5 linked regions of the Macaca fascicularis genome follow. The protein of the gene in region 4 interacts with the protein of the main gene of each other region in a pairwise test. Links are inferred from orthologs where the notes say so. Each region holds a gene or a part of one and is shown on either strand. Other genes may lie near its edges.

Region 1 (4,147 bases), on a different chromosome or scaffold from region 4:
TTCTCTCTGACCCCCAAAACGTCCCAGCACCAAGTCTGGGGTTTCCCTGGATTGATAGCAGAAGGGGAACTGGATTCTGCCTGGTGAGGTTGGAGGGCAAGGAATGGGAAATGGGGCAGCGAAGTGGTAGGGGATTTGTGGGAATGGGGGTTAGAGTGGGATCTTGGGGGACCTCAGTTCCCTCTCAGGTTTCTGACTTTGATTCCTGGCAGATCCTGGGCCATGCCCTCTCCTAACCAGCCCTGCCCTGATCACACCAACCTCTGACTCCAGAGTCTCCTGTGGCTTAAACAAACGGGTTGCAACAGGGGCGGTGGTGGGGAGCAGCCCAGCCTGAGAAGTCGGCCTCCTGGGTGGTCCAGGGCTGGCAGTAGGGATGGTGCTGGATTAATTGGGGCCCTCTATCTGGGGGGGGGCCCTTCTGAGACCTCCCTCAGCCTCTCACCTTGCCTCCTCAGAGCCTGGGCTCACTTCTCTCTGCTGATGTCAAGCTCCCCCTAAGGAGAACCTTGCTTCTCTCTAACTCCCAATGAGCAAGTCAGTGGCGTCACATTCGGGTACCAGGGACTTTCCTGGATTGACAGCAGGGGCTGAACTGTATTCTGCCAGGGTGGGGGTTCCGGTGGGAGGGGTGTGGGTGGAAAGGCAGAGCGGAAGGAGATCTGGGTTGAGGTATAGGAGTGGTGGATAGGGGTGGGAATGGCAATGAAGTGGGGGTGGGTCATGAGAGTGGGGATTGCAGTGGACTCTTGGAGGCCCTCAGCCCTCCCTGAGATTCCTGACCTTGATGCCTGGCAGAGCCCAGATAGTGCCCTCTCCTAAGCATCCCTTCCATGGTCACACCACGCTCTGACTCCAGAGTCTCCTGTGGGGACCGGGTGTGGGGACAGGTGGTGGTGGGGTGGGAAGCTGGAGGCGGCGGCCTAGCCTGAGAAGTCAGCCTCCGCGATGGTCCAGGGCTGGGACCTTCTATCAGGGATAAGGGTGTCCTGAATCCTCCCTCAGAGTCTGACTGCCTGCTCACAAAGCCTGGGCCCCCTTCTGTCTGACAATCTCAAGCCGTTCTTCAGAACCAGAACCTCGCTTCCCTCTAATCCCCAATGCACAAGTCAGTGGCATCACATCCGGCCACCCAGGGCTTGCCTGGATTGAAAGCAGGGGTGTAACCAGATTCTGCACGGATGGGGATGAAGGTGGGGGGCATGAGGCTGGTGGGGGGTGTTGGGGAGCATAGGGGCACAGGTGGGGGATGGGGGTACAGATGGGGTTGGGAGTGCGGATGGGAATGGGAACAGGGTAGGGGATAGGAATGGGGTGGGGGACGCTCCACCCTCTCCTAGGGTCCTGATGTTGAAGGTTAGCAAAGCCTGTCCCCACCAGTCTTGCACTGATTACACCAAGCTCTGACTGAACAGTCCCCTGCGGCTTAAGCGGCAGTGGAGTGGTGGGCCCCAGACTCAGATGTCCGCCCACGAGTGACCCAGGGCTGAAAGCAGGAGTGGTGCTAGATTATTTGGGGTCATCCATCTGCAGTGGGGAGGGTCTCCCGAGTCCTCCCTCAGCTTCTCACCTTGCCACCTCAGAGAGCCTGGGCCGGCTTCCCTCTGCCAAGCCCAAGCTGCCTGTCAGACCAAGAAGCTAGCTTCTCTCTAACCCCCAATGCGCAAGTCACTGGCATCACATCCGGGCACCTGGGGCTTCCCTGGGTTGAAAGTGGAACTGGAACCCGATTCAGCCTGGATGGGAGTAGAGGTTTTGGGGTGGGGATATGAGGGCAGTGATTCAGCCTGGATAGGGGTAGAGGTTTGGGGGTGGGGATATCAGGGTGGTGGGAGTTTGGGGAGGATAGGAGTACTGGTGGGGAATGGGGGTGTAGATGGGGTTGGGAGTGTGGATGAAAATGGGAACGGGGTGGGGGACCCTCAGCCCTCTCTTACAGTCCTGAGGTTGACGCCTGGCAGAGCCTGCCCTCACCAGTCTTGCACAGATCCCCCCAAGCTCTGACTCGAGAGTCGCCTGTGACTTCAGAGGCAGTGGAGTGGCGGGTGACCCAGACTCAGAAGTCTGCCCACGGGTGGCCCAGGGCTGGCAGCAGGAATGGTGCGGGATTATTTGGGGTCGTTTATCTGGGGTGGGGGCCTCCTAAGTCCTCCCTCAGCATCTCACCTTCACTCCTCAAAGGGCCTGGCCCGCTTCCCTCCGCCAATCCCAAGCTCCCTGTCAGACAGAGAAGCTCGCTTCTCTCTGACCCCCAACGCGCAAGTCATTGGCTCACATCCGGGCACCTGGGGCGTCCTGGGGTTGAAAGCGGAAGCAGAACCCGATTCAGCGTGGATGGCAGTGGGAGGGATGAGGATGGTGGAGGGGGCAGGCTTTTTGGGGTGGGAGACGGCGGTATGAGGATGGTGGTGGATTGGGGAGGATGGATGGGGTGCTGCAGAGGGATGGGAGTGTGGATGGGTTTGGGAGTGCGAATGGGAATGGGAAAGGGAACAGCGTGAGGGATGGGAAGGGGGTGGGGGATAGGAATAGGGGTGGGATAAGCTCAGCCCTCTCTTATGGTCCTGAGGTTGATGCCCGGCAGAGCCTGCCCTAACCAGTCTTGCACTGATCACCCCAAGCTGTGACTCCAGAGTCCCCAGCGACTTCAGAGGCAGTGGCGTGGTGGGTGCCCCACACTCAGAAGTCCACCCACGGGTGGTCCAGGGCTGGCAGCAGGAGTGGTCCAGGATTATTTGGGGTCGCCTATCTGGGGTGGGGGCCTCCTGAGTCCTCCCTCAGCATCTCACCTTGACTCCTCACAGGGCCTGGCCCGCTTCCCCCCACCAGTCCCAAGGTACCGGTCAGACAAAGAAGCTTCTCTCTAACCCCCAATGCGCAAGTCAGTGGCATCACATCCGGGCACCTGGGACTTCCTTGGGTTGAAAGTGGAAGCGTGGATGGGAGTGGGAGGGGTGACGTTGGTGGAGGGAGCGGGTATTTTTGTGTGGGAGATGGTGGTATGAGGGTGGTGGGGGGTTGGGGAGGATAGGGTTGCTGGTGGGGGATGGGGGATGGAGGGTTGTGAATGGGAATGGAAACGGGGGGGGATGGGAATGGAGGTGGGGGATGGGAATAGGGGTGCGGTAAGCTCAGCCTTCTCTCATGCTCCTGAGGTTGATGCCCGGCAGAGCCTGCCTTCACTAGTCTTGCACTGATCACCCCAAGCTCTGACTCGAGTCCCCTGAAACTTCAGAGGCAGTGGGGTGGTGGGTGCCCCAGACTCAGAAGTCCGCCCATGGGTGGCCCAGGGCTGGCAGCAGGAGTGGTCTGGGACTATTTGGGGTCGTCTATCTCGGATGGGGACTCCTGAGTCCTCCCTCAGCATCTCATCTTCACTCCTCACAGGACCTGGCCCCCTTCCCTTGCCAATCCCAAAGTGCCGGTCAGAGAAGCTCGCTTCTCTCTAACCCCCAGTGTGCAAGTCAGTGGCCTCACATCCGGGCACCTGGGGCTTTCCTGGGTTAAAAGCAGAAGCGGAACCCGAATCAGCATGGATGGGGGAGGGAGGGGTGACGGTGGAGGGGGTGGGAATTTTGGGGTGGGAGACGGTGGTATGAAGGTGGTGGGGTGTTGGGGAATATACCTGGGCTAGTGGGGGATGGGATTGTGGATGGTTTTTAGGAGTTCGAATGCGAACAGGGTGGGGGTGGGAATGGGGGTGGGGAAGGGGAATAGGGTTGGGGGACATTCAGCCCTCTCTTTTGGTTGTGAGGTTGGTGCCTGGCCAACCTTTCCCCCGCCCATCTTGCATTGATCACACCATACTCTGATTCCAGAGTGCCCTTCGACTTCAGAGGCAGTGAGGTGGTGGGTGCCCCAGACTCAGAAGTCTGCCCACAGGTGGCCCAGGGCTGGCAACAGGAGTGGTCCGGGATTATCTGGGGTCGTCTATCTGGGGTGGGGGCCTCCTGAGTCCTCCCTCAGCGTCACACCTTGACTCCTCACAGGGCCTGGCCCGCTTCCCTCTGCCAATCCCAAGGTGCCAGTCACACAGAGCAGCTCACTTCTCTCTAACCCCCAATGCAAAAGTCAGTGGCATCACGTCCAGGCACCTGGGGCTTCCTTGGGTTGGAAATGGAAGCGGAGCCTGATTCAACGTGGATGG
Region 2 (3,983 bases), on a different chromosome or scaffold from region 4:
GGGGCCGGGCGGCTGTCACAGTCCTCCCTCAGACAGTCCCGGCCCTCGGCCTGGCTCCCCGGAGGCTGGGCAAGCAAGACCGCGGATTTGCCGGGACTGCTGGGGTGACCCGCGCTCTCCAGGCCGGTAGCTTGCAGCAGTTGCGGCTCCTGGCCACTAGGTGTCAGCCTGCCCTCACTGTGGCGCGGGCTTCCTCTCCCGCCTCCGAGCGAGGCGGCTGCTTTCGGGGAAAGTTTAGGTAAACTGGGCGAAAGGAGGAGCCGCTGAGAGCTAGCGAGGGAAGTGAAGCGGGGGTGAGGGCGGGGAGGGAGAAGAGGGTGGTAATAGAAGAGGGGAGGGAAGAAGTGAGGGAGGGGAAAGGTGCTGCGGGAGGGAGGAAAAAGCCAAAAACCTGAGGCGCAAGGACCCACGGACCAAGCCGTTTGAGTGTTTTCCTCCCCTATGGCTCCAAGGTTACACATTAACCCCTGTGGGACTCCTAGGTTAATCAAGGCGCAGTCGGTTTCTAGGTGAGAGCACTGGTGTCCCGGGTGAGCGGCTTTCCCGCCCCTCCCCTTGGCTCACAGAGCTGCTCTGTCCGCCGGCCGACACCGGCCTGAGCCAGCGCCCATCAGCAGTCCTTCCCCGTGGGCGGGTTTGGGTACCCTTGCGAAAGCCGGGGCAGGGTTTCTTTCTTTCTTTCTTTCTTTTTTTTTGAGATGGAGCCTCACTCTGTCGCCCAGGCTGGAGTGCAGTGGCACGATCTCGGCTCACTGCAACCTCCGCCTCCCAGATTCAAGAGATTCTCCTGCCTCACCCTCCCGAGTAGCTGGGATTACAGGCGAGCACGACCATGTCCAACTTTTTGTATTTTTAGTAGAGATGAGGTTTTACCATGTTGGCCAGGGTGGTCTCAAACGCTTGACCTCAGGTGATCTGCCCGCCTCGGCCTCCCAAAGTGCTGGAATTACAGGCGTGAGCCACCTCGCCTGGCCGAATACTGAGTTTTTATAGAGCTCCAGCTGAGCAGGAGCCCGGGAGAACCTGGAATTAACCTCACTTCCGGTAAAGAGCCTAGCTAGTCACACTAACCAGCCCTCTGCCTCTAGGCTTTGTCTTGAGCTCATTTCGGCGAAACCGCGGTCTTTCCTTTTCCCCTTGATGCTTTCAGGTAGTGATTCACTTCCGCCCCCATCTTCCCCCATGGGGTTCACCCTAGATGAGCACTGAGGGCAGATTACCCTCCTGCAGTGCGTGTGTATGAAAAGCGAGTTGAGAGTCCTGACCAGCGCGGTGCTCACTAGTCGGGACGGCCTGAGACCGTGTCATGTCCTCCCCAGGTGAATCAACTTGCACAACTTGGGATTTCCCTCGTCCCTCCCTAGGCAAACACGAAACTAACTCTGCTGCCTTCTCCCAGGAGCGCTGGCCTCGGTCGTTTTGGTTGTGTTTATCGTTTGTGTGCCAAAGAGAACCCGATTTCTCCTGAAATAGCGTCACTCGTGGGCAAGAAGGGGGTCGATCCTCTTCCCACCCCCGCCCGGCCTGTGGGGTGCAACTCTCAGGAACGCGACATCCTTTTAGTCTAGCAAGCTTTACAAGGGCTGGGTATATGCTTGGGAGGGGCGGGTACCGTGCCCGCCATTGCGGGGCGCGCCCTATTTTCTTGCCCTATCCCTTGGACACTGCGTGGGGCAGGGTCGTGAGGGGAAAGGTGACGGCGTGTCGCAGCGGCAGGTGTGTGGTGCAGGCCCACAAATACGGACGCGTGGCGAAACCCACACCTAGCGCGCTGGCTCCGCCCCGCAAGCCGCTCGCCGTGAAGGGGCGGGGCCCAGAGTGGCTGGGTCCGCGCACGCGCCGCGGGGGAGACGGAAGTGAAACGCTAAGAAATGAGATGGAGAAGTACGAGCGGATCCGAGTGGTGGGGAGAGGTGCCTTCGGGTGAGCCAGGGCTCTGGGGGAGGAAACTGCTAAAGGATAGGGAAAATAAGCCCCAATTCTGCCCGCGAACTCGCCGCCCGCCTAGACCCGCCCCAAGGCGTGTACGCTACTCTGGGAAGCTCCGCCCAAGCTTCCGGTCCCTATCCCGCGGGGAGACTCCGCCTCTACGTGGGCCACGCCCCTGACAAGCCCATTGGCCCGCCCACTGAGTTCTGTTAGATTCTTTATTCATTGGTTTTACAAATACTGAGTGCCAGCTATGTATGTCAGGCTTTGGGCCCTGGGTATGCTGTTAGAACCGGAACAGGCGTGGTCTTTTCCCTCTTGGAACTTACTGACTATGGGAAAGTTATACAATAAACAAAACATTATGAATTAAGAAGTTATAGCAGTTATGAAGGGTTATTAGCAGGTTGTGAGGCTAGAGTACATTACCAGGGAGAATACTTATATGAGATGGTCAAGGAAGAATTCTCTGAGAAGGGAGATTGATTGATTGATTGATTGATTGATTTTTGAGACAGAGTCTCCCTCTGTCACCCAGGCTGGAATTCAGTGTCGCGATCTCGGCACACTGCAACCACCACCTCCCGGGTTCAAGCAATCGTTGTGCCTCAGCCTCCAGAGTAGCTAGGATTACAGGCGTGCGCCACCACGCCCGGCTAAATTTTTTTGAATTTTTTTTTTTTTTTTTTTTTTTTTGAGACAGAGTCTCCCTCCCTCTGTCGCCAGACTGGAGTGCAGTGACGTGATCTCGGCTCACTGCAACCTCTGCCCCCCGGTTCAAGCGATTCTCCTGCCTCAGCCTCCCGAGTAGCTGGGACTACAGGCACGCACCACCATGCCCAGCTAATTTTTTTTGTATTTTTAGTAGAGACGGGGTTTCGCCATGTTGGCCAGGCTGGTCTCAAATTCCTGACCTCAGGTGATCCGTCCGCCCCAGCCTCCCAAAGTGCTGGGATTACAGGCGTGAGTCACCGCGCCAGGCCAGAAGTGAGATTTAAGGCCAAGACTTGAGGAATGAGAACCAGTAGTCTGAAGGTGAAGTGAGAGCTTTTCAGGCAAAAGAAATAGCATATGTGAAATTTCTCACATGGGAAAACAGAGCATTGAAGAAACTGAGAAAAAGACTAGCATAGTTGGAATGTAGTGGGCAAGATAGAGAATGGTATGAAATGTAATTGTCGAGGGCGGGGACTAGATTATGGCCTGATAACCTGAGGTAAAAGGGTTCATTTGCCACAAAGGGTTTTGTTTTGTTTTTGTTTTTGAGACGGAGACTTGCACTGTCGCTCAGGCTAGAGTTCAGTGGCACGATCTCAGTTCACTGCAACCTCCGCCGCCCAGGTTCAAGCAATTCTTCTGCCTCAGCCTCCTGAGTAGCTGGGACTACAGTCACACGCCACAATGCCTGGCTAATTTTTTATTTATTGTTATTTTATTTTATTTTTATTTATTTATTTATTTTTTGAGACAGAGTCTCCCTCTGTTGCCCAGGCTGGAGTGCAATGGCACCATCTCGGCTCACTGCAACCCCTGCCTCCTGGGTTCACACCATTCTTCTGCCCAGCCTCCCGAGCAGCTGTGACTACAGGCGCCTGCCACCATGCCTGGCTAATTTTTTTGTAGTTTTTAGTAGAGACGGAGTTTCACTATGTTAGCCAGTATGGTCTCGATCTCCTGACCTAGTGATCTGCCCGCCTCAGCCTCCCAAAATGCTGGGATTACAGGCGTGAGCCACCGTGCCCGGCCCCAGTTTTCAGGTTTTTTTTTGTTTTTTTTTTTGTTTTTGAGACGGAGTCTTGCTCTGTCACCTAGGCTGGAGGGCAGTGGCGCAATCTAGGCTCACTGCAAGCTCCGCCTCCCAGTTTCTCGCCATTCTACTGCCTCAGTCTCCCGAGTAGCTGGGACTACAGGCGCCTGCCACCACGCCTGGCTAATTTTTTGTATTTTTAGTAGAGAGGGGGTTTCACCATGTTAGCCAGGATGGTAAGATTTTTAAATTACATTCTGGGACTGGGATGGTGGCTCATGCCTATAATCCCAGCATTTTGGGAGGC
Region 3 (4,028 bases), on a different chromosome or scaffold from region 4:
CATTCTCAAGGGTGGGGAGAATTACAAAGAACCTTCTTAAGGATGGGGGAGAGATTTGTAAAATGTAGATAGAAGACCTACTTTCCCACATTGCTTTCCCACATTACTTTCCCACATTGGTCTCAGGTTTAAAATACATCAATTAGGATACAGCAAAGTCTGTTTGATACTGAAAACTTTCCAGCAAGAATGATCCTTAGAACAAGTCATCTCTCATCTTTGCTCTTGCCTGTAACTACTAAGCGACTACTCCATCTTCTGCGCTTAGGGATTTTAAATTGTTGGCATTTTTGATTTAGCCGGGAATGCGTTGTGTGGGGATATCAAACCTGCATGCTCCCCGAGCATTGACTGTAGTCTGATCATAGTAGGTCATGCACATATAATTTTACTATTTCTCAATTTATTTCAGTGCTGATGCAATTAGCAAAATACGATTTAAGAGTGTTATGATACTCTCTTAAATCGTGATGTCTTTTCTTCATCAAAGCGATACTTAAAAGCACATAATCATCTTGTGGAGGCAGGCTGACAAAATACTTTTTGAGATTCTAAAAGGAATCTTTGTACTTAAAATGTTTAAGGACCACTGATGTATTTTGGCTTCATGTATCAATCAGATTTAGATTTTATTTTATTGTTTTAGAGATGGGGGTCTCCCTTTGTCGCCCAGGCTGGAGTGGAGCTCACCGCAGCCTCAAACTCCTGGGCTCAAGCCGTCCCTCTGCCTCAGCCTCCTGAGTTGCTGGGGCTACAAGGTGTGCCACCATTTTTTGTAGAGATGTGATCTCGCTGTGTTTCCCAAGCTGGTCTTGAACTCCTGGTTTCAAGTGATCCTCTTGCCTTGGCTTCTCAACGTGTTGAGATTACAGGCGTGAGCCACCACTCTTGGCCCCGATTTATTAATAGATTTTATAAGGACATTTTAGGCCTCACGCATCAGTTTCTTAGAACAAGCTTTTCTCTGCACTGCATACTAAATCAGACGGTAGTGCGACAAATAAACGGTGATGATTTCCCTAAGAACAAATCAAGTACAGAAAACTCCCTAATTGTCAGAACAGCAGGTAGTCTGGACGGATCTCTGAGGCTATCCTTAAACAGGTGCACTGAGACGCAATGTGCTGGAAACAAAAGAGCTCCTCCTTGCGCCCTCCCACCGCCCCACTCAATCCTGCTCCGCCCTGGCCACCCTGCGGCCCCGCCCCTATGCGCGCTGGTTGGTCCTCGCAGGCATGATGAAACTTCCCGCACGCATTACAGGAGCCAGGTCGGTATAAGCGCCCGCAGTCTCGCCGCCCAGCACGCTGTCCGCTGCCCGGCCCCCGCTCACCGTATCTCCTTGACTTGCTTACGCCCAGGTGAGCCGGACCCTGCGCTCCGCGCCGTGCGCCCAGCGCCAGCACACTCCTGGTGTGCCCTGCGGCTGCTCCGGGAAGAGGGGGAGGAGGATGCGTCCTTAAGCCTGGCACCCGGCAGACGCAGTTCGGGGGCGCCTGCTGATGCTGCGGCTCCTGCGGTAGAGAGGGCGGGGCGGACGCCTAGCGATTGTTGCGCAACTGGCAGGTAGCGGAAGGACCTCTCTGTCCTGGTCCCCTGAGGCATCAAGAGGGAACCACGACCGGGAGGCCGGGCTGCTCCGGAGAGAAGGCAGCGGCGGTCTGAGTCCCTGTAAATGTTACATGTGTACTTTTTTTACTATGTGGCGTCGAAGCCTGTGGACATTTTCGCAGTCCGGGCCCCTGCGGCGGACTGGTCGGAGCGTGCTGGTGGCCAGGGCGCAGTCAGGCGTCGCGTGGTCCTGATCTAGGAAGAAGAGACTCTGGCTTTATTACCGCCTCGGTGTCTGTGCTTTCCCCTTCAACTGCCCCCGTCCTCACCTGGACCCCTCACCTTCCTCCTCCGCTCTCACCCCGCCACCCCTGCCAGTTCCCACCCCTCTCTGTAGACTGCAAGACTTAACAAGTGACTTGCTGAGCAAACCCTGCCGAGAAGAGGTCTGTTTAGGGACACAGGCGGCCAAGTACAGAAAAAGGTAGAAGAACTAGCGTGCCTTTTTTAGTGGATGTCATTTTACAGGGCTGGCTTCAGATGATTGTTATAGCTTTAAATAAAAGGACAGTTTTCTTCTCGGCCGTTGGCCTACATTATTTCTTTACTGTCCATTGCCCTGGGCGCTTGACTAATAATTTAACAGCAGTTTTTTTTTTTTTTTTTTTAATTTTAAATCATGATTCATAGCATTGCTGTAAGAGTAATTAGAGGTAAAATAGGGCTTGAACTTGTCTGTAGTTGGTTACTTACTGACATCTTAACATAAAAGTAAGGTGAGAGGGTGAAGTTTTAAGTAACGTAAAGTGGAATAGAAATTAAATGCCCTGAAACTGCCATGTCCGGTTCGGTAGGCGCTAGCTACCTGTAGCTGTTGAGCACTTGAAATGCTGGCTAGTCCTAATTGAGGTGTGTTGTGTTAAATACACTGGATTTTGTCGTTGGAGTAGGAAGAACAGTGTAAAATATCTGCTTGATAATTTTTTATATTGATTACATACATGTTAAAATGATACTATTTGGGACATATTGAGTTAAGTATATTTAAAATTAATTTCACCTTTTTCTTTTAATGGGGCTACTAGTATATTTAACATTACATACGTGGCTCACATATTTATTGGACAGCACTGCTCTAGAAGTTTAAGAAGAAATAAGAAAAATATTGAGAACAGGTTGCGGTAGTAGGAACTTTGCCCTTCTATAAGACCGATACCAATAAAAATAATAGGTTAGAGTTTTAATTGGACTTTTCCTACTAGAAAAAATAAGTGTACTTTACATGCCCCTTTGTTCTCCCTCTTTCCCCTCCAGTTTAGAGGTTAGCGTGTATTTATTATAGCAGGATTAATACAGGGATTCACTAAGCGGCGTTAAGAAAACTTAGGTAAATGATTCCCTGATGACCACACTTGATTTTCAAAGCACTTTCCTAACCCATTTTTAACTGGTATAGAGTCAAAGGCAGATGGCTTATTAGTAGTCATCTCATTTAAATCTTACGGAATTTTTCCAGTAAATCTCAAATAATTTGTTGTAGGCTATTTGGGCTATTTGGTCAAGTGCATGGAAGGGACAGCATAGGACATGTGGTACTTCATTTCCAAATTGCTTGAGATGATTTTCATTATAACCATATATTATTTGGTTCTGGTTTTCTGGAAAAGCCAGCTAAACCTTTGGTGCTTTTAGATATAAATGAAATATCACCAAAGGATTGCTCAAAGTGACTTATGCAACTTGAATATATATTTTTCCCTTAGGGTGTTTATCCCAAATTATCTGGGCATTTGCTGCAATTTGCAGTTTTTTTTTAAAAAAAACACCAAAATAGTTATTTTTCAAGTTAGAGATGTTTTAATAAAAACAGTCATTTTGAGCTGGCAGCAGCCAAATAAAACAGCGCTTTATTTCACAGTTGAGAATTGGAAATTGGAAAGTAATTAACATATGTGAGGATGACTTACTTGCTTCCTGGCTTATAGGGATGAGCCAAGTTTTTATTAGGGATGTTGTTGCTGTATATGTCCCACCTAATTTGCTTCCTTACTGAACAATGCAACTTTGAGACAGAAATATTTGAGAACATTTTTGTCACTTGGGACATTTTGATAGTGAACATTTTGTATCTTCTATTAACTTAAAATGTTTTGTTTGTTATAAAGCCAGGATATCTGATATCAAATTAAATTGTTTTCTTTTCCCTTTAGATTTTCTTCAATCACATCTGAATAAATCACTTAGAGGTAACCTAGATGTAATATGGTGAAATGCTTAAAAGAGCTGTGTATCTTAGTATTACACTTACAGCAGTATGATTTTCTGTTGTATACATTATATTGTACCTGCAGCTAGTTCAGATAAAGAGAGGGCATTTAACTGTCAAGACAACCTGAGAGGAGACTCTAGTAATCTGGAAAGTCTCTTGGATCTTTGAGGGATTTTGGGATGGAGAGAGTGGGGCTGGGATCTCTGGC
Region 4 (3,512 bases):
TTAGCATCAGTGGGTCATGGAACCAATCGTTGCACAGTGGGCAGTGTAGCTCCATAGTAATATCTTGTATCACCACTTTAGAAGGTAGGTGGGCGATTGAATCGTTAATTTCAACATAGTTGCCTGGATCGATGTTGGAGGAGTTGGAGGATACCTTTAGAAAAGAACAGCTAGAATGAGTTTATCTTTCTTTTTGCCCATTTTAACACTCCAGGATGATGGGCTCCATTCCTAAAGGAGCTGAAAATTGGTACAACTAAAGTAAAAGCACATAATCTGTCCTTTGAAAGTGAACCAGTAAATTGAGTGTTTTCTGACATTATGGCATATGATGCTATTTAAACTTTAATGAAGAATCAAAGTAGAGGAAGAAACAGTACTAAGTCAAAGAAATGTACTTTGTTGTACATCTCTCTCTTTACCCACTTTCCCCATGTATCTGTTGAAAGTTTTATTTTCAGCTTCTGCTCTACTAGTTATTACCTTTATTCTATTTTTGTTTTCTAGAAATTATGTATGAAGAATTGGAAAATCAATCAGATTTCTCAGTCAGTAGTATTATATTATCAACCATCCAGGGTCCTCTTCACTCCTTTTTAAAAAACACATTTCAGGCCGGGCGCGGTGGCTCACGCCTGTAATCCTAGCACTTTGGGAGGCCAAGGTGGGCGGATCATGGGGTCAGGAGATCGAGATCATCCTGGCTAACACAAGTGAAACCCAGTCTCTACTAAAAATATAAAAAATTAGCCAGGCATGGTGGCGGGCGCCTGTAGTCCCAGCTACTCAGGAGGCGAGGCAGGAGAATGGCATGAACCCAGAGGCAGAGCTTTCAGTGAGCCGAGATTGTGCCACTGCGCTCCAGCCTGGGCAACAGAGCAAGACTCTGTCTCAAAAAAAAAAAAAAAAAAAAAAAAACCACACACATTTCAGAAACATAAATACAGAAGCTGGCGCAGTGACTCATACCTGTGGTCCCAACTACTCGGGAAAGGAAACTAGGAAGTACCTCAAAGTCATATAAATAAGTAGAGACCAGTGAAAAAGTAGCTACATAGGTAAAGTCCAATAATGCAGTTTTTGGTTTCTAACTCCTCTTTTTCCCCTATTCAATTTAAAAGACAAACGCACAAAACAATAGTTATGTGTGTTAATGGATATGCAATGTGTAAAGAGATAATTTGTGATAATAACAACAAAAAGGAGAGAACAGAGCTGAAAAGGAGCAGTTTTTATAGTAAAAATTTTTGCCTTGTACTATTAAAACTAAGTTGGCATTAATTCACCCTTGATCATTATAAAGTTGACTAATTATAACCCTCAGGTAACTACTAAAGAAAAAACTACTAAGCAATATAAAGAAAAAGAAAAGAGAAAGGAATCAAAATGTTATGCTAGAAAAAAATCAATTAATCACAAAAAAGGGAAGTAATGAAAGAATTTAGAAACAAAAAAGCACATAGAGAAAATAAATAACAAAATGGCATAGGTAAGTCTTTCCTTATCAGTAATTACTTTAGATGAAATAGATTAACTTCTGACTGAAAGGCAGAGATTAGGAAAATGGATAAAAATAATATGAACCGGCCGGGCGCGGTGGCTCAAGCCTGTAATCCCAGCACTTTGGGAGGCCGAGACGGGCGGATCACGAGGTCAGGAGTTCGAGACCATCCTGGCTAACATGGTGAAACCCCGTCTCTGCTAAAAAATGCAAAAAACTAGCCGGGCGAGGTGGCGGGCGCCTGTAGTCCCAGCTACTCGGGAGGCTGAGGCAGGAGAATGGCGTAAAAACCCGGGAGGCGGAGCTTGCAATGAGCTGAGATCTGGCCACTGCACTCCAGCCTGGGCGACACAGCGAGACTCCGTCTCAAAAAAATAAATAAATAAAAATAATATGAACCAACTATAGGCTATCTACAGGAGACTCACCTTAGAACCAAATACACAAACAAGTTGAAAGTAAAAAGTTGGAAAGATAATCCATACAAATATTTACCCAAAAAAGATGTAGTAGCTCTACTTATATCAGGTAAAATAGACTTTAAGGTAAAAATTGTTAAACTTGTTACAAGAATGCAAAGAAGGACATTATCAAGGATATGATAAAAGGGTCAATCCATCAAGAAGATAAAACAAGTATAAACATATACACACCCAACAACAGAGCCTCAAAATATGTGAAGCAAAAAGAGACAAATTTGAAGATAGAAATAGTTCTACAATAATACTTGTAAATTCCAATACCCCACAGTTTCAATAATGGACAGACCAACAAGATAGAAGGTCAGTAAGGAAACAGAAGAATTGAACAACACTGTAAGCCAACTAGACCTAATAGACATATAAAGAACACTTCATCCAACAACAACAGAATATACATTTTTCTTAAGTGTACATGGAACATTCTCCAGGATAGACCATATGCTAGGTCAGAAAACAAGTCTCAATACATTCTTAAAAGATGAAAACCAGCCAGGCACAGTGGCACATGCCTGTAATCCCAAAACTTTGGGAGGCCAAGGTAGGTGGATTGCTTGAGCTCAAGAGTTCGAGACCAGCCTGGGCAACATGATGAAACCCTATCTCTCCAAAAAAAAAGTACAAAAATTAGCTGGTCATGGTGACACATGCCTGTAGTCCCAGCTACTCAGGAGGCTGAGGTGAGAGGATTACTTGAGCCCAGGAGGTCAAGACTGCAGTGAGCCAAGGTTGTGCCACTGTACTCCAGCCTGGGTGACAGAGCAAGACCTTGACTCAGGGAAAAAAAAAAAAAAAAAAAAAAAATCATACAAAATATCTCTTACTACAATGGAATGAAACTAAAAATCAATAACAGAAGGAAAACTGCAAAATTCATAAATATGTGAAAATTAAACAATACATTCTTAACCAATTGGTCAAAGAAGAAATTACAAGTAATATTAGAAAATACTTTGAGATGAGTAAAAACAAAAATGCAGGCTGTGCACAGTGGCTCACACCTCTAATCCCAGCACTTTGGGAGGCTGAGGCAGGCCAATCACTTGTGCTCAGGACCTTGAGACCAGCCTGGGCAAACTAGTGAAACCCTGCCTCTACCAAAAATATTAAAAAAAAAAAAAAAAATTAGCTGGGCATAATGGAACATGTCCATGGTCCCAGCTACTGGGGAGGCTGAGGTAGGAGGATCACTTGAACCCAGGAAGTGGAGGTTGCAGTGAGTCAAGATCACACCTACGCACTCCAGCATGGGTGACAAAACAAGACTCTGTCTCAAAAACAAATAAAAAAACACAGCATGCCAAAACTTATGGGATACAGTGAAAACAGTGCTAACAAGGAAAGTTATAGCTATAAACACCTACATTAAAAAAGAAAGACCACAAATCAATAACCAAAATTTTCCCTAGAACTAGAAAGACAGGTACAAGCCAAACCAAAGCTAGCAGAAGGAAAGAGTAAAGAATATAGGCAGAGCATGGTGGCTCATGCCTGTAATCCCAGCACTTTGGGAGGCGAGGCCAAAGCAGAAG
Region 5 (4,145 bases), on a different chromosome or scaffold from region 4:
ATCTTTAAATCTCTTTTAGCTACTTCACTTTTATTTTTATTTTTTTGAGATGATCTGTTGCCCAGGTTGGGGTGCAGTGGCATGATCTCAGCTCACTGCATCCCCCACATCCCAGGTTCAATCTATTCTCCTGCCTCATCCTCCCGAGTAGCTGGGATTACAGGCTTGTAGCACCACGCCTGGGTAATTTTTGTATTTTTAGTAGAGACAAGGTTTCACTATGTTGGCCAGGCTGGTCTTCAACTCCTGACTTCAGGTGATTTGATCGCCTCAGCCTCCCAAAGTGCTGGGATTACAGGCGTGAGCCACTGCTCCTGGTGGCTGCTTCATTTTTAATGGCTGCATAATATTCCTCATCAGAAAGTGGGAATAATTAGGCTAGTCGGCGTGGCTCATGCCTGTAATTCTAGAACTTTGGAAGGCTGAGTTGGTAGGATTACTTGAGTCCAGGAGTTTAAGACCAGTCTGGGCAACATGGCAAAACCCTGTCTCTACAAAAAATACAGAAAATACCGGGTGTGGTAGTGCACACCTGTAGTCCCAGCTACTCGGGAGGCTGAGGTGGGAAGATTGCTTGACCCCAGGAGACTGAGGCTGCTGTAAGCTGAGATCCCACCACTGCACTCCAGCCAGGGTGACTCCATCTCAAAAAAAAAAAAAAAGGAAAGAAAAAAAGAAAGTGTTAATAATTAAAAGTACTTTTAGAGGGTTATGTCATAAGCCTTGACAAGAGTTGTTCTGTAAAGCTACCTGGCATGTAAAACGCTCAATTAAGTTAGTTAGCTCTTCCACAGGATGGAATTATATAACCAACCCCTTTCAAGAGGCATTTAAGTTGTTTCCATTATTTTGTCATGATGAATAAGGCTGAGCAATATTAATCTTTGCTCATATCTTTGGTCATTTCCTTTGTAAATTTCAGGACTGCTGGGTGTGCACATTTTAAAATTAACTCACTCATCATCATGCAGTTAGGAGAACAGAGAAAGGAAGGGGCTGTGCGGGGTCACATAGGGAGTTAGCGTCAAAGTCAGGACTAGGAATCAACCAGGGTCCTCTAACTGGAGCTCTTCCAGCTGGTGCCCTAGAGGAAGTCCCAGCTGCAAGCCGGAGGGAGGAGGAAGGGAAAGAACCAGGCGCCGGGTCTGAAGCGGCGGCAGGAAGAAGGTGGGGCCGGTTGGGAGGTGGGGGCGGAGCTGCTGAGCCGCGCCGCTCCTTCAGGCTGCAGAAGCTAAGCGGTCGCCTGGCAACCCCGGCGGCGCGCCGTTCGAACGGAAGCGAGGAACCAATCAGGAAGTCCGGGTCGAACCATTCTGGAGTGAAGGGGGGCGGGGTGCTCACTTCCCCTTTCTCGGCGCTCGAGGGACTTTCCCTGCGGTGGGGGCCTTCGACAGTCAGGGCCACCCGCTCAGCTCGACTGCGGAGGGCAGTTCCGAAGGGGACCCCAAAGGTGCCCACGCGGGGCTGGGGCCTCCTGGGCGCCGTTGGGAGCGGTCACTACCAGCCCGGGTCCGAGCTGTCAGCCTCTCCGAAGACTGCGCGGAAGGAGCCGGGACACGCCTAGGACGAGCTCCAGGTGAGGGCGCGGGTGGTTCCGGGTGCGACCCGGGGTCTGGGGGACTCTGTTCCCCGAGCGCCTGCTGTCTGCTTTCTCCCCGCGTCGTACCTGCGTGTCATTTCACAGATGAGGACTCTGAGGTTCAGAGAGGCAAGTGTCCTGGCTCGGCGAGCTCTGGCAGAGAATCCAGTTCAAGGCTTTCCGCCCTACCTCGCAGCCCCTAGTCTAGTCGTATCTAGACTTGCCTTGAGAGGTACAGACGGGCAACTAGTAGTCATTTTCCCAGCATTTTATCGGCAGGGACACGGCCTATGGACCCCTGGCTGGATCACCTATCCCTGCGCCCCACACTGTCCTCGGGATACCCCTTTTGGGCGTCTTTCTTCTCCGCAGTCCGGGGTTGGACTCGGCTCATTTGGCGCCCTTCTGCCTACTGGGCTCTGAACTCCAGAGCTCCCCCTCTCAGAGGACCACTCTTTAGCCATCGGATGGCACTGACATTTCTGGGCTGGATATAGGGGCAGCAGATTCTCCAGCCCCCAGAGTCGCTGCTGGCCTCTTGGGAATCTTCCCCGGTCTGGGGAAGGGAATAAAGCCAGTCCCTGAACCAAAGCCACTAGTCACCAGAGACTTTGGAATTGGGGGTGGGGCCGGGATTCCCTCAGGAGGAGCATCTGATCTAGGCCAGATCCTGCTCTGTCTCCTGGGGACACCCCTTGCCCCCTAGGTTGCTATTGTCAGTCTCCTTTTGTAGGTGGGGAAACTGAGGTTCTAAGAAGTTAAGCCTCTTGTCGAAGTCCCAGTCAGACAATGCAGTGGTTATTAGCTCCTGGTCCCTCTGGCTTCAATCTTAGAATCCTTGACACCCAGAGTCATGCATTTTGAGAGTCTTGAATCTCTTCATAAGGGAGTTACATATCTCCTCTCCTCTGGAGCCTCCCCCTGGCTTTGGGGACAGGATCTCCGAACACTCAGAAAACAAGCCTTTCCTTTATTCTTTCAACAAATATTATTGACTTCATAAGCCTTGCTCTTGTTCTTGCATGTTTTGTTTTTCTCAGTAGCATTTACTCCACCTTATGTCCTATATATTTTACTTATTAGCAAATTTATCACCTTCTCCCACTGTGATGCAAGGCAGGGGCTGAGGCAATTGAGGTCCTCACCACCAGTGCAAAATTTAGGGATGCCCTGAACCTCAGTAATCAAGATAACTGAAACTAATGTTCATGGACCATTTGTATGTTCTGCAGGCAGGAGGTTAACTCACACAGCCTTCATGAAGCACAGTCCTCCCATCTCATTCTCTCTCTCTCTCTCTATATATATGTGTGTGTGTATGTGTGTGTGTGTATATATATATGCATATTTATAAATCGTGAAACCACTGCCCTGTCCCTGACTTGCTCTGTGACATTGAGTAAGTTTCTTCAGTCTCTGGGCTGAGCTAAGAAGTCATGATGGTGCACTCAGGCCTGGGCAGAGGGCGGTCTAGGATAGGAAGCAGACTTGGTTGTGGATTACAAATACATCCCCCAGACTCAGCTGTCCCACTTCTAAGCAAAATGATGTAGATGCAGTGATGCTGCAGTGTGGTTTGTAGGCAGAAATGAGACACACTCTAAGTGGCCACCAGTAGGGGATGATGGGAAATTCTACTGTGCAGCTGGGAAAAAGGACATGCTCTTTATGTACTGATGTGGCACCAAGAACAAAACATACTATTGAGCAAAAAGAACAAGATGAAAATGGTACACATAGCATCATGACGCCATATGTGTAACAATGGAGACAGAATATATATTCATACTTGCCTGCATCTGCCTAAAGTCTCTCAGGAAGGATAAGCAACTGTCTGGTCACGATGGTGCCTGCAGGGAGGAGAAATGGGGACAGGGTGGGAGGAGGTTGTTGTTGTTTTTTTTTTTTAAACTTCACTATCTTTACCGTTTTTGAATTTTGAGTTGTGTGCATGTATCATCTATTTTAAAAATTTAAAAATTAAGGCCAGGTGCGGTGGCTCACGCCTGTAATCTCAGCACTTTGGGAGGCCAAGGCGGGTGGATCACTTGAGGTCAGGAGTTTCAGACCAGCCTGGCCAACGTGGTGAAACCTCATCTTTACTAAAAAATACAAAAATTAGCCGGATGTGGTGGCACGAGCCTATAATCCCAGCTACTTGGGAGGCTGAGGCAGGAGAATCACTTAAACCTGGGAGGTGGAGGTTGCGGTGATCCCGGTGCACTCCAGCCTGGGTGACAACAGGAAAACTCTGTCTAAAAAATAAAATTACATATATATATGTGTGTGTGTGTGTATGTATGTATGTGTGTGTGTATATATATATATATATATATATATATATATGCATGTTTATAAATCATGAGACCACTGCCCTGTCCCTGACTTGCTCTGTGACACTAAGTTTCTTCAGTCTCTGGGCTGAGCTAAGAAGTCATGATGGTGTACTCAGGCCTGGGCAGAGGGCGGTCTAGGATAGGAAGTGGGCTTGGCTATGGATCTGCCTCCCACTCACCTTTCTAATCCTGCGTGCCAGGTCCTTCCCCAAGACCTTGCATGTGTTATC

Evidence for each region.
Region 1: the proteins of TRIM69 (region 4) and MAGEA4 interact in binary tests that used the Homo sapiens proteins (3 or more experiments, as listed by UniProt). The two-hybrid records come from large-scale screens. The link is inferred for Macaca fascicularis from reciprocal best matches to the Homo sapiens genes TRIM69 and MAGEA4.
Region 2: the proteins of TRIM69 (region 4) and NEK8 interact in binary tests that used the Homo sapiens proteins (3 or more experiments, as listed by UniProt). The two-hybrid records come from large-scale screens. The link is inferred for Macaca fascicularis from reciprocal best matches to the Homo sapiens genes TRIM69 and NEK8.
Region 3: the proteins of TRIM69 (region 4) and ASNS interact in binary tests that used the Homo sapiens proteins (3 or more experiments, as listed by UniProt). The two-hybrid records come from large-scale screens. The link is inferred for Macaca fascicularis from reciprocal best matches to the Homo sapiens genes TRIM69 and ASNS.
Region 5: the proteins of TRIM69 (region 4) and FAM110A interact in binary tests that used the Homo sapiens proteins (3 or more experiments, as listed by UniProt). The two-hybrid records come from large-scale screens. The link is inferred for Macaca fascicularis from reciprocal best matches to the Homo sapiens genes TRIM69 and FAM110A.

The regions. Positions count from the first base shown.
Region 1 is NC_088395.1:157,991,080-157,995,226, reverse strand, and holds the start of MAGEA4 (melanoma-associated antigen 4), read right to left. Parts: upstream 2,807-4,147; 5' UTR 2,790-2,806; intron 2,186-2,789; exon of another isoform or gene 2,167-2,185; intron 1-2,166. UniProt on the Homo sapiens protein: Regulates cell proliferation through the inhibition of cell cycle arrest at the G1 phase. Also negatively regulates p53-mediated apoptosis.
Region 2 is NC_088390.1:34,201,696-34,205,678, forward strand, and holds the start of NEK8 (serine/threonine-protein kinase Nek8), read left to right. Parts: upstream 1-1,177; 5' UTR 1,178-1,239; coding exon 1,240-1,319; intron 1,320-1,852; exon of another isoform or gene 1,853-1,876; coding exon of another isoform or gene 1,877-1,923; intron 1,924-3,983. UniProt on the Homo sapiens protein: Required for renal tubular integrity. May regulate local cytoskeletal structure in kidney tubule epithelial cells. May regulate ciliary biogenesis through targeting of proteins to the cilia.
Region 3 is NC_088377.1:123,498,117-123,502,144, forward strand, and holds the start of ASNS (asparagine synthetase [glutamine-hydrolyzing]), read left to right. Parts: upstream 1-1,222; 5' UTR 1,223-1,270; exon of another isoform or gene 1,271-1,361; 5' UTR 1,362-1,671; exon of another isoform or gene 1,672-2,035; intron 2,036-3,761; exon of another isoform or gene 3,762-3,797; intron 3,798-4,028.
Region 4 is NC_088381.1:21,358,684-21,362,195, reverse strand, and holds part of TRIM69 (E3 ubiquitin-protein ligase TRIM69), read right to left. Parts: intron 155-3,512; coding exon 1-154.
Region 5 is NC_088384.1:86,552,369-86,556,513, reverse strand, and holds the start of FAM110A (protein FAM110A), read left to right. Parts: upstream 1-1,339; 5' UTR 1,340-1,576; intron 1,577-4,145.